Linked DNA regions of Macaca fascicularis. The protein of the gene in region 1 binds, or shares a complex with, the protein of each later gene. Links are inferred from orthologs where the notes say so. Each region holds a gene or a part of one and is shown in the gene's direction. Other genes may lie near its edges.

Region 1 (4,340 bases):
GCCTGGGCAACAACATAAGACCTCGTTTCTCCAAAATATTTTTAAAAAACGGGGTTGGGGGGCAGGCATGGTGGTGCGTGCCTGTGGTCCCAGCAACCTCAGGTACTAGGGAGGCTGAGGTAGAAGGATTGCTAGAGCCCAGGAGGTCAAGGCTGCAGTGAGCCATGACTGTGCCACTGCACTTGAGCTGGGACAAAAGAGCAAGACCCTGTCTCAAAAAAAAAAAAAAAAAAAAAAAGAAGGAAGGAAACATAATTTAAAAAATCAAGTCCAAAAAAAAGCAAGCAAGAAGAAGAAGAAGAAGAAAAGCTCAGCACTGTCACAAGGAATATATGACAAGAAAAGCTGGCAATTTCTATATACCTGTGAAATCCAAATTGTCACTTGCCTTAAGGTATCAATGGTGTGAGCCCAAAAGTCTGTCAAAACCTCTTCACTTTCCCCAGATCTTCCATGGCACCTCTGCTAAACTCAAGGCTTCAGTTAACATGCTGACTATTGTGGAACCATACATCGCATAGAGTACCTGAACCTGAAATCAATAAATGAACTGATCTACAAATTGGTTATGGCAAAACCAATAAACAAATTACCTTAACAGATAACTCTTTGATTGATAGATTTCTTGATAAATATGGCATCATCTGACTGGAGAATCTGATTCATGAGATCTATGCTGTTGAAAAACTCTTCAAGTTCCTGTGATCCTTCAAATTATCTTCTCCACGAGGGAGAATGACTACCTATTCTGTATTACTAAAAAGTACAAATGCCAGCAACAGAAAAGACCATATCAACAGGCTTATTAAACGGATAAACTGAAGCATCTAACGTTATTTTTGTAATCTGGTCAGTTAATAGCCAGTCGCTACTTTCAAACTGGAAAAAACAAAAACAGAAACAAAAATGTGACTGACTCCTTCAAGACCAAAATATACCACTTTTTGCCTAGACGGCACTTTGAAATAGAGGGCAATACCATCATGTTTTACGCTTGCCTTTCTACTTTTTAATACAGGTGAACTGTTTCTCCTTAATAGAAAAGAATACCAAGTAAAGAACAAATAGCAGTTATGGAAAACAGTTTCAAAAACTGCAGGGGGCTAGAGAACAAAGGACTGAGTGTAGGGAGAGAGATAAGAGATTCCCGAGGTGTGGGGCAGAGCCCACGCATCTGAATTCCAAGAACAGGCGCTTTCTGACAGAGAATACCAGGAAATGACTTCACGTTTTTCCAGACTATCAACATGCTTCATTTTTCCCAGTAGGAGAACCCAGGGCCTGTTCCACGCCCACAGACGTTGGTCAGGCAAAGCGGCCGCAAGGCGTCTGGGCTAAACGCAACCAGGTCCCGCCCCCGGCCCTGTCTGGTCCAGCCAGGCACACATTGGCAAGCTTTTGCGCCTGCGCCCACCGGGCCGGCACCTGTAGGCTGAAGTCGCCCATGCGCTAGATGGGAACGTCGTTTCTTCTCCCCTACCCCTTTTCTGTGGGGCTATTTTAGGGAGAGACTGCTTCCGGGTCGAAGGGCTTGCTTCCGGAGAGCGGGAAGGCTAAAACGCGGTAGCTAAACTGGAGCCGACATTTATTCTGTGTGGAAAAGGCTTTAGCCATGGACAGGTCAGTTCTGAGGATGGCAGCTGAACCCAAAGCCTTGCCCCTCTCGCCTGTTGGCGAAACGAAATAGGTGAAACTAGACTCCCAGAAGAAGCCAAGGAGGTCCCGGGTGCTTCCCCTAAGACTCCTTCCCCATGCCGGGAAATTTGGCTACAAATGGGGAAAGGCCGCTTGGCCTGCGTCGGGTGGGGTACGGATCATAATGGTCCCCTACATTCCCACTACGTTCTGCGATCTATTCGGCGCTTTGGGGCAGCAACACTGATCGCTCCTGGGGTGGGCGGGGTAGGTAGCCCGGCGTTCGAAATGCTAAGTGACCAGCCTGTGATCACAAAGCCAGTCAGTGAAGATACTGGGATCTCAGCTCAGACTTTCTGATTACGTGCTAGCATCAGATACTGAGTTCCCTCTGTGATCTGGGTACTGTGCTAGCCGCCTGCAACAAAGATCAGTTATTCAAGATCCTTCACCTCGGGGAATTAGTTGTGTAGTGGAGACAACCAAGCGGTATAAAGTGATAAGTGTTTGGGGGCGATTAAGTCTCCCTGTCACTCTATCAGAAAGACCTCTCAAAGAAGGTAACTTTCTAGCTGGTCTTTGCATAATAATAGTACATTATTCGTACTCCAAACATTGAGTACCTACTATATGACTGCCATTGTTGGCTTTGAATATATATTATCAGTTTATTTAATCTTCAGAACAAGAGCAATCCTATGAGGATAGGTACTGTTATCCCTTTTTCATATATAATACTGAGACTAAAAGAGGTTAAGGAATTTGCTGAAAGTTAGGAAGCTAATAAATACAAGAACCAAATTGCCAACCTGCCTCTGTGTGTCTCCAGCCTACCTGAGGCTCTTTGAGGAGTAATTAGTTGTTGACCAGGTGCCCAAGGGGGCAAATGTAGGTCTTTGTAAAAGAAACATATTCAAAGGTGCTAGTATATGAAAAACAAAAGTACATGTAGCTCAGTGGTCACATGCAGTATATGTTTAGAGTGATGTTTGTGGCTGAATAGAAGACTGAACGCCTAAACTGGGGTCACATTGTAAATATCATTTTAGGAAATTTGCACTTCTATAAACCAGAGAGAGCTATCTGTAGGTTTTTTGTTTGTTTTGTTTTTTAATTTTAATTATTAAACATTTAAAATTTTTTCTATGGGGTTGTTTCCCATACTTTCCTGCTGAAGGAATATCTGAAGGTTTTAAGTGGAGGAAAAGCATATTAGATTCTTGTCTTAAACACAGGCCTTTTAGTCCACACAATTTAGTTTCTAGACCTTTGAGTGAAACTGACAGAGTGTTGTGATGGGACAGGAGACCTCTTTGGTTGAAATAACTTGAAGGGTCATTTTGCTACAATTTACCAGAATTTTTTTACTTACTCTTCTATCTCACAAGCTCTGTTTGTTGTTGTGGTTGTATCTCACAAGCTCTGGTTGTTGTTGTTGTCTGGTGGTGGTTGTTGTCTGGTTGTTGTTGTTTGTTTTTTAATAGTACCCATGGTTTAAAGCATTTTGGATTCTGCAGAAAATCTTTGAAGAGAGAATTCCTGCAATTAGGTAACTTCTCAATCCAACCAGGGAAATAAGATTCACTTTTATGAAGCAATTACCTAAAACAGTGTTATAATATAGATTCCAAGTGTTGAAATAATTCTTTAGGAGAAAATAACATAGTGAGTACTAGAAAGTCAGAGAAATCTTTGTGCAGGTAACATTTGAGTAAGACTTTGAAGAATAAGCAGGATTTGGAGCCACGAGTGCATTCTCAGCAAAAGATCCAAGACTTGGCTACTGGAATGACCTATATCTTAACTTACTCAGGGTCCTTTACTCCAGCTGTGATGATAAAATTCTTTACAAATGCTATATTCTTGTTTCACTTATATAAGCTTGATTATACTACTTTAGGAGTGGCTTTGGAGATATATCATCCCCTGTAATCCGGGAGGCAGAGGTGACACGGACTGCACGGAAACAGAGTGCTCAAAAAAGAGTTTTAAGTATCCTTTGCGATTTAAGCATCATTATAAAAATTGTAACATGTTTGGAATCAGTGTTATAGAATTTTCTTTTTATAAGAGTATTAAATGTTAGCTATAATAAAATCCTGTAGAAATTTTTTTCACTCCACAGAGCTGTCATTAGGTAAATATAATGCAAAAATTTAATAAGATTATATTTCCTTAAAAATAAAGATATTTCTTACTGCTGACTATCATATTGTGGTTAGCTTCTGCTGAGATTTTTATTATTTGAAAACTGACTAAAAACATTTAGTTCAGTGTGTAGCTATCTAAGACTGACGTCTGAGAATTTAAATGGCAGAAGGAATGGGTTATTTACCCTTTGCATTGAAAAATGGTAGCCGTAAAATACCTTGTTCTTGAAAAATGTATTCACATAATTTGTATAGTAAAAAGATGGTTAATTCTCATTTTAATCTTTTCTACATGGAAAACTTTTCTTAACTCATTGTACAGTTCAGGCATCTCAAGATGAAAGTTTCGGTAATACTACACCAAGAAACCAGGTTATCCCTCGAACTCCTAGCTCATTTCGACAGCCTTGTAAGACTTTTTTGCTTTTAAAGCATTTAATAATAATGATAATTATAATAGCAACTAACATTTATTGTAACATGATAAGTATAGTATTTGGTTACAATATCAATAAACACTAATAATAATGATTGCAGTTATTATTTGTTTGAACT
Region 2 (3,647 bases), on another chromosome or scaffold:
TTGTGGGTGTTACTGGCCTGGCTGAAGTGTGTCTGTGTGTTAGAAACAGCTAAAACAAGAGACAGCTGGAGGGACTTGCTGGGGGAGAGCTGGGGCCAGTGACTGCCCAGGGTGCTTCTGGGGAAAATACAGCTATGGTATTTTGCATGTTACCATATTGCTTTCTAAGAATATATGTTTGCCTTTTTGCAAGGTTGGCTTATTTGGACGTCTAGGCAGTTTTCCAGTTAGAGGGACACCGATGGCCACTCGATTGTTGCTCTGTGAGCATGCCGAAAAGCTGTCAGCCACCATTGTTCTCAAGAACCACCACTCCCGGCTTTCTGATCTCGTCAACACGGCCATATTGATTGCTTTGAACAAGAGGGAGTATGAAATCCCATCCAACCTGACTCCTGCAGATGTCTTTTTCAGGGAGGTATGATGAGTCCTCTTTCATGTGGCTTTGTAGAACTGTGCCATTTAGTGATCATGCCCTAGGCAGGAAAGAGGGTGAGGACAAGTTAAATCACAAAAGATCTCACTGAAATGTTAAATTGGACCCCAGATTTTCTGGCTAAAGTATCACTCAGAAGTATCATTTACCAGTTACCTATAAAGAAGAGCTTGCAAAGTTGACTGAGAAGTGCTCCCTGTTGACTTTTTTTCCCGTTAGTAACTATCTCCAAGTACCTATTTGCTTTGGGTGCTGATCTTCCCTTTTTTTTTTTTTTTTTTTTTTTTTGAGATAGAGTCTCACTCGGTTGCCCAGGTACCTCCACCTCCCGGGTTCCAGCGATTCTCCTACCTCAGCCTCCTGAGTAGCTGGGATTACAGGTGCCAGCCACCACGCCTGGCTAATTTTCATATTTTTAGTAGAGGTGGGGTTTCGCCATGTTAGTCAGGCTGATATTGAACTCTGACCTCAGGTGATCCACCCCTTCAGCCTCCCAAAGTAATGGGATTACAGGCGTGAGCCACTGCGTCCATCCTGATCTCCTTACTTTGTCTCTCGATCTACTGTTTTTTTTTTTTTTGAGACTGAGTCTCGCTCTGTTGCCAGGCTGGAGTGCAATGGTGCAATGTCGGCTCACTGCAACCTGTGCCTCCAGGCTTCAAGCAATTCTCCTGCCTCAGCCTCTCAAGTAGCTGGGACTACAGGCCTGTGCCACCACACCCAGCTAATTTTTGTATTTTTAGTAGAGACCCTGTTTCACCCTGTTGACCAGGCAGATCTGCCCTTGACTGTGCCACAGCCAAGTAGCCTTCCTGAGTGGGCTCCCTTGCCCTCCCACTTCTACCAGGTCAGATGAATGGGAGGCCCTGCCAGAAGGCCGGAAGTTGTAGTAGTTATTCCCCCAGCTTTCTTCCTTGCCTGTGCCCACTTTACATTGGCTGTGCCCCTCTGTCAGGGACCATGCCTCCTGTCCAACTGCTTTCTCTTGTTTCCAGTAGCTGCCCCTCCTCTTGCCTCTTCAGGCTGGAGGTTGATAATGCCTCATCCTAGGGTGCTGCCCCATCCCCTTTTGGACCCCTTAATCTTGTCCACACCTTTGCAAACAGTCCCTTCACTGAACTCCTCAGCTACCTCCTAGGATCCTGTTGCTACACCTTACTTGTAAAATCAGATTTATTTTCAGAGAAAAAGTAAAGTCTGCTACAAACTTCAAAGACAGAAATGGTTAAGATGCTGGTCAGCCAGTGACAGCTGGACATTGTGGAAATAGTGGCACAGTCCTCACGGTTTTGTGAAGCTTCACAGCCTATTGAGGCAGCAGGGTAGACTTCGCTGTCTCCCTTTAAAGGTGTGACATTAGGACTTAGACCTATTGTCTTAACGGAGACTGCAGAATGATCTAGTTTTAGAAACAGTGCCAACTCTTCCCTCAGCTCAGTGAAATTTGGAATTCCTTATGCATTTGAGGAGCTTCAAACTCTATTTGGTGTCTCAGATTTTGCTTCCTTCCTCCTATAGCCTAACTGTATTCTAGCATGTAACACATTATGCCAACAGGTCTCTTTTTCTTAATGTTTGATGTACTGTAACCTAAGTTCAGTCTTCTGTTGATTCCATAAATGCGTTTAGTGTGAATTCTTTGTTTTTATACGTTTGTGTTAGTTCCTAGGGAATGGAAGGAAAAGTGCTTTGTTATGTTTTGTTTTTAATCTAGACAGTATGCCAGAAATCTGAAAGAAAAACAAATCACCTCAAGTTTCATGATCTAACAAATCAAATTGTTGTCTTTTTTGTGTCCTTTTTGGTGTTTATTCATACATAGTTTTATATGATAAGGCAATGAATTTTTAAAAATTAATGACAGACTGCTTGTAAGAACTGAGCAAGAGCCTGGTTTATTATTCTGCATTTGTATCAAAGGGCAAAGTGTAATTGTCAATGCAGTGTATGTACATGTTTCAGTTAGCTGAATTATTAGAGAAGGGTCTGGAAATTATCAGTTGGATACATAATATAGAATAGTATTTTAGGACTATGATACAGCAAAACTAAAAGTGTGATTGGCTCCTCAAAAGAATGTTCCATATGAAAAATGGTAATGTTTAGGACTGTTCACGTCACTATTTATCTTCATTTCTCATGATGTTCATTGGTCTTCAGCTTCTCTGGGGTGTAGTTCTAAAGGTTTTCTCCCCTGTCATAATCATCATGAAAAGAGAATATAATAGCTATGTACATATAGTAGTTTTTCTTTTTACCTGTCCTTTCCCTTGGGGGTGACAAAGTACCTTTCTAAGGAGTATTTGTGTTTTGGGATGAGCTGGTTAACCAAAATCAATCTCTGATTGGTGGGCCATATAGAAAAATATTTTGACTTGGCAGCCCTGATAGAAAGTAAAACAATACAGAGCCTGCCTGAGGGTGCACTCTCCACTTTGCCTCTGTCTCCAGTTTGGGAAGGCCTTGTACCTCCCAGAGCTCTGGAAAAGCAGAGCTTACTGCTTAAGAAACAGACTATGTTGACACGGCATATGAGCAATATTTGAAATCACTGAATATATACATGATAAGATAATTTAACAAGTGTTTTGGCATTTTATGCACTTTTATTTTCTTTTATGCTTTCCTTTTTTTTTTTTTTTTTTTTTTTTGGAGACAGAGTCTTGTTCTGTCACCAGGCTGGAGTGCAGCGGCACAATCTCTGCTCACTGCAACCTCCGCCTTGGTTCAAGCAATTCTCCTGCCTCAGCCTCTCAAGTAGCTGGGACTCCAGGTGTGTGCCACCACGCCCAGCTAATTTTTGCATTTTTAGTGGAGACAGGGTTTCACCGTGTTTGCCAGGATGGTCTTGATCTCTTGACCTCGTTATCTGCCCACCTCCAAAGTGCTGGGATTGCGGGCGTGAGCCACCGCGCCTGTCCATTATATAGGCTTTCATTGTGTTTTTCATGTTAACAATGTAAAATATTCTTATGCTTAATCTTACAAATTAAATATGCTGAAGATTTCTTGCCTGGGCTGTTAGAATGCCTTTGGCTAACATCAGAAATGCAAAAGGAAGAACAAGGTTTGCAAAAGGGAGGGATTTTGTTTGGGTCATGTTTTATCTGTGACTGTGTGTCTTGTTCCTTCAGCCAGTTTGTGAGGTCCTTGAGGGCAGCTGATCTGATTTTTCTTTCCTCTTATCTCTGTCCATTGCTATGCAAACTCT

What was found. The genes of interacting proteins can lie anywhere in the genome.
Region 2: the proteins of NUP107 (region 1) and NUP133 are in contact, whole or in part, in a crystal structure (PDB 3CQG), measured with the Homo sapiens proteins. The link is inferred for Macaca fascicularis from reciprocal best matches to the Homo sapiens genes NUP107 and NUP133. Residues at the interface, in NP_065134.1 of Homo sapiens: Leu875, Gln876, Ala878, Asp879, Val881, Ser882, Ser883, Glu884, Tyr889, Lys894, Leu897, Arg898, Leu900, Leu901, Gln902, Arg905, Ser908, Leu909, Leu912, Asp917, Pro918, Leu919, Tyr921; in NP_060700.2 of Homo sapiens: Trp937, Leu938, Ile941, Asn942, Gln944, Leu946, Tyr963, Ala965, Lys966, Lys968, Thr969, Leu970, Gly972, Leu973, Lys975, Leu976, Ala977, Leu979, Ala980, Ser981, Asp982, Ile992, Glu999.

What each region holds. Positions count from the first base shown.
Region 1 is NC_088385.1:75,447,769-75,452,108, forward strand, and holds the start of NUP107 (nuclear pore complex protein Nup107), read left to right. Parts: upstream 1-1,524; 5' UTR 1,525-1,612; coding exon 1,613-1,620; intron 1,621-3,535; coding exon 3,536-3,627; intron 3,628-4,107; coding exon 4,108-4,194; intron 4,195-4,340. UniProt on the Homo sapiens protein: Plays a role in the nuclear pore complex (NPC) assembly and/or maintenance. Required for the assembly of peripheral proteins into the NPC. May anchor NUP62 to the NPC. Involved in nephrogenesis.
Region 2 is NC_088375.1:19,636,404-19,640,050, forward strand, and holds part of NUP133 (nuclear pore complex protein Nup133), read left to right. Parts: intron 1-193; coding exon 194-418; intron 419-3,647. UniProt on the Homo sapiens protein: Involved in poly(A)+ RNA transport. Involved in nephrogenesis.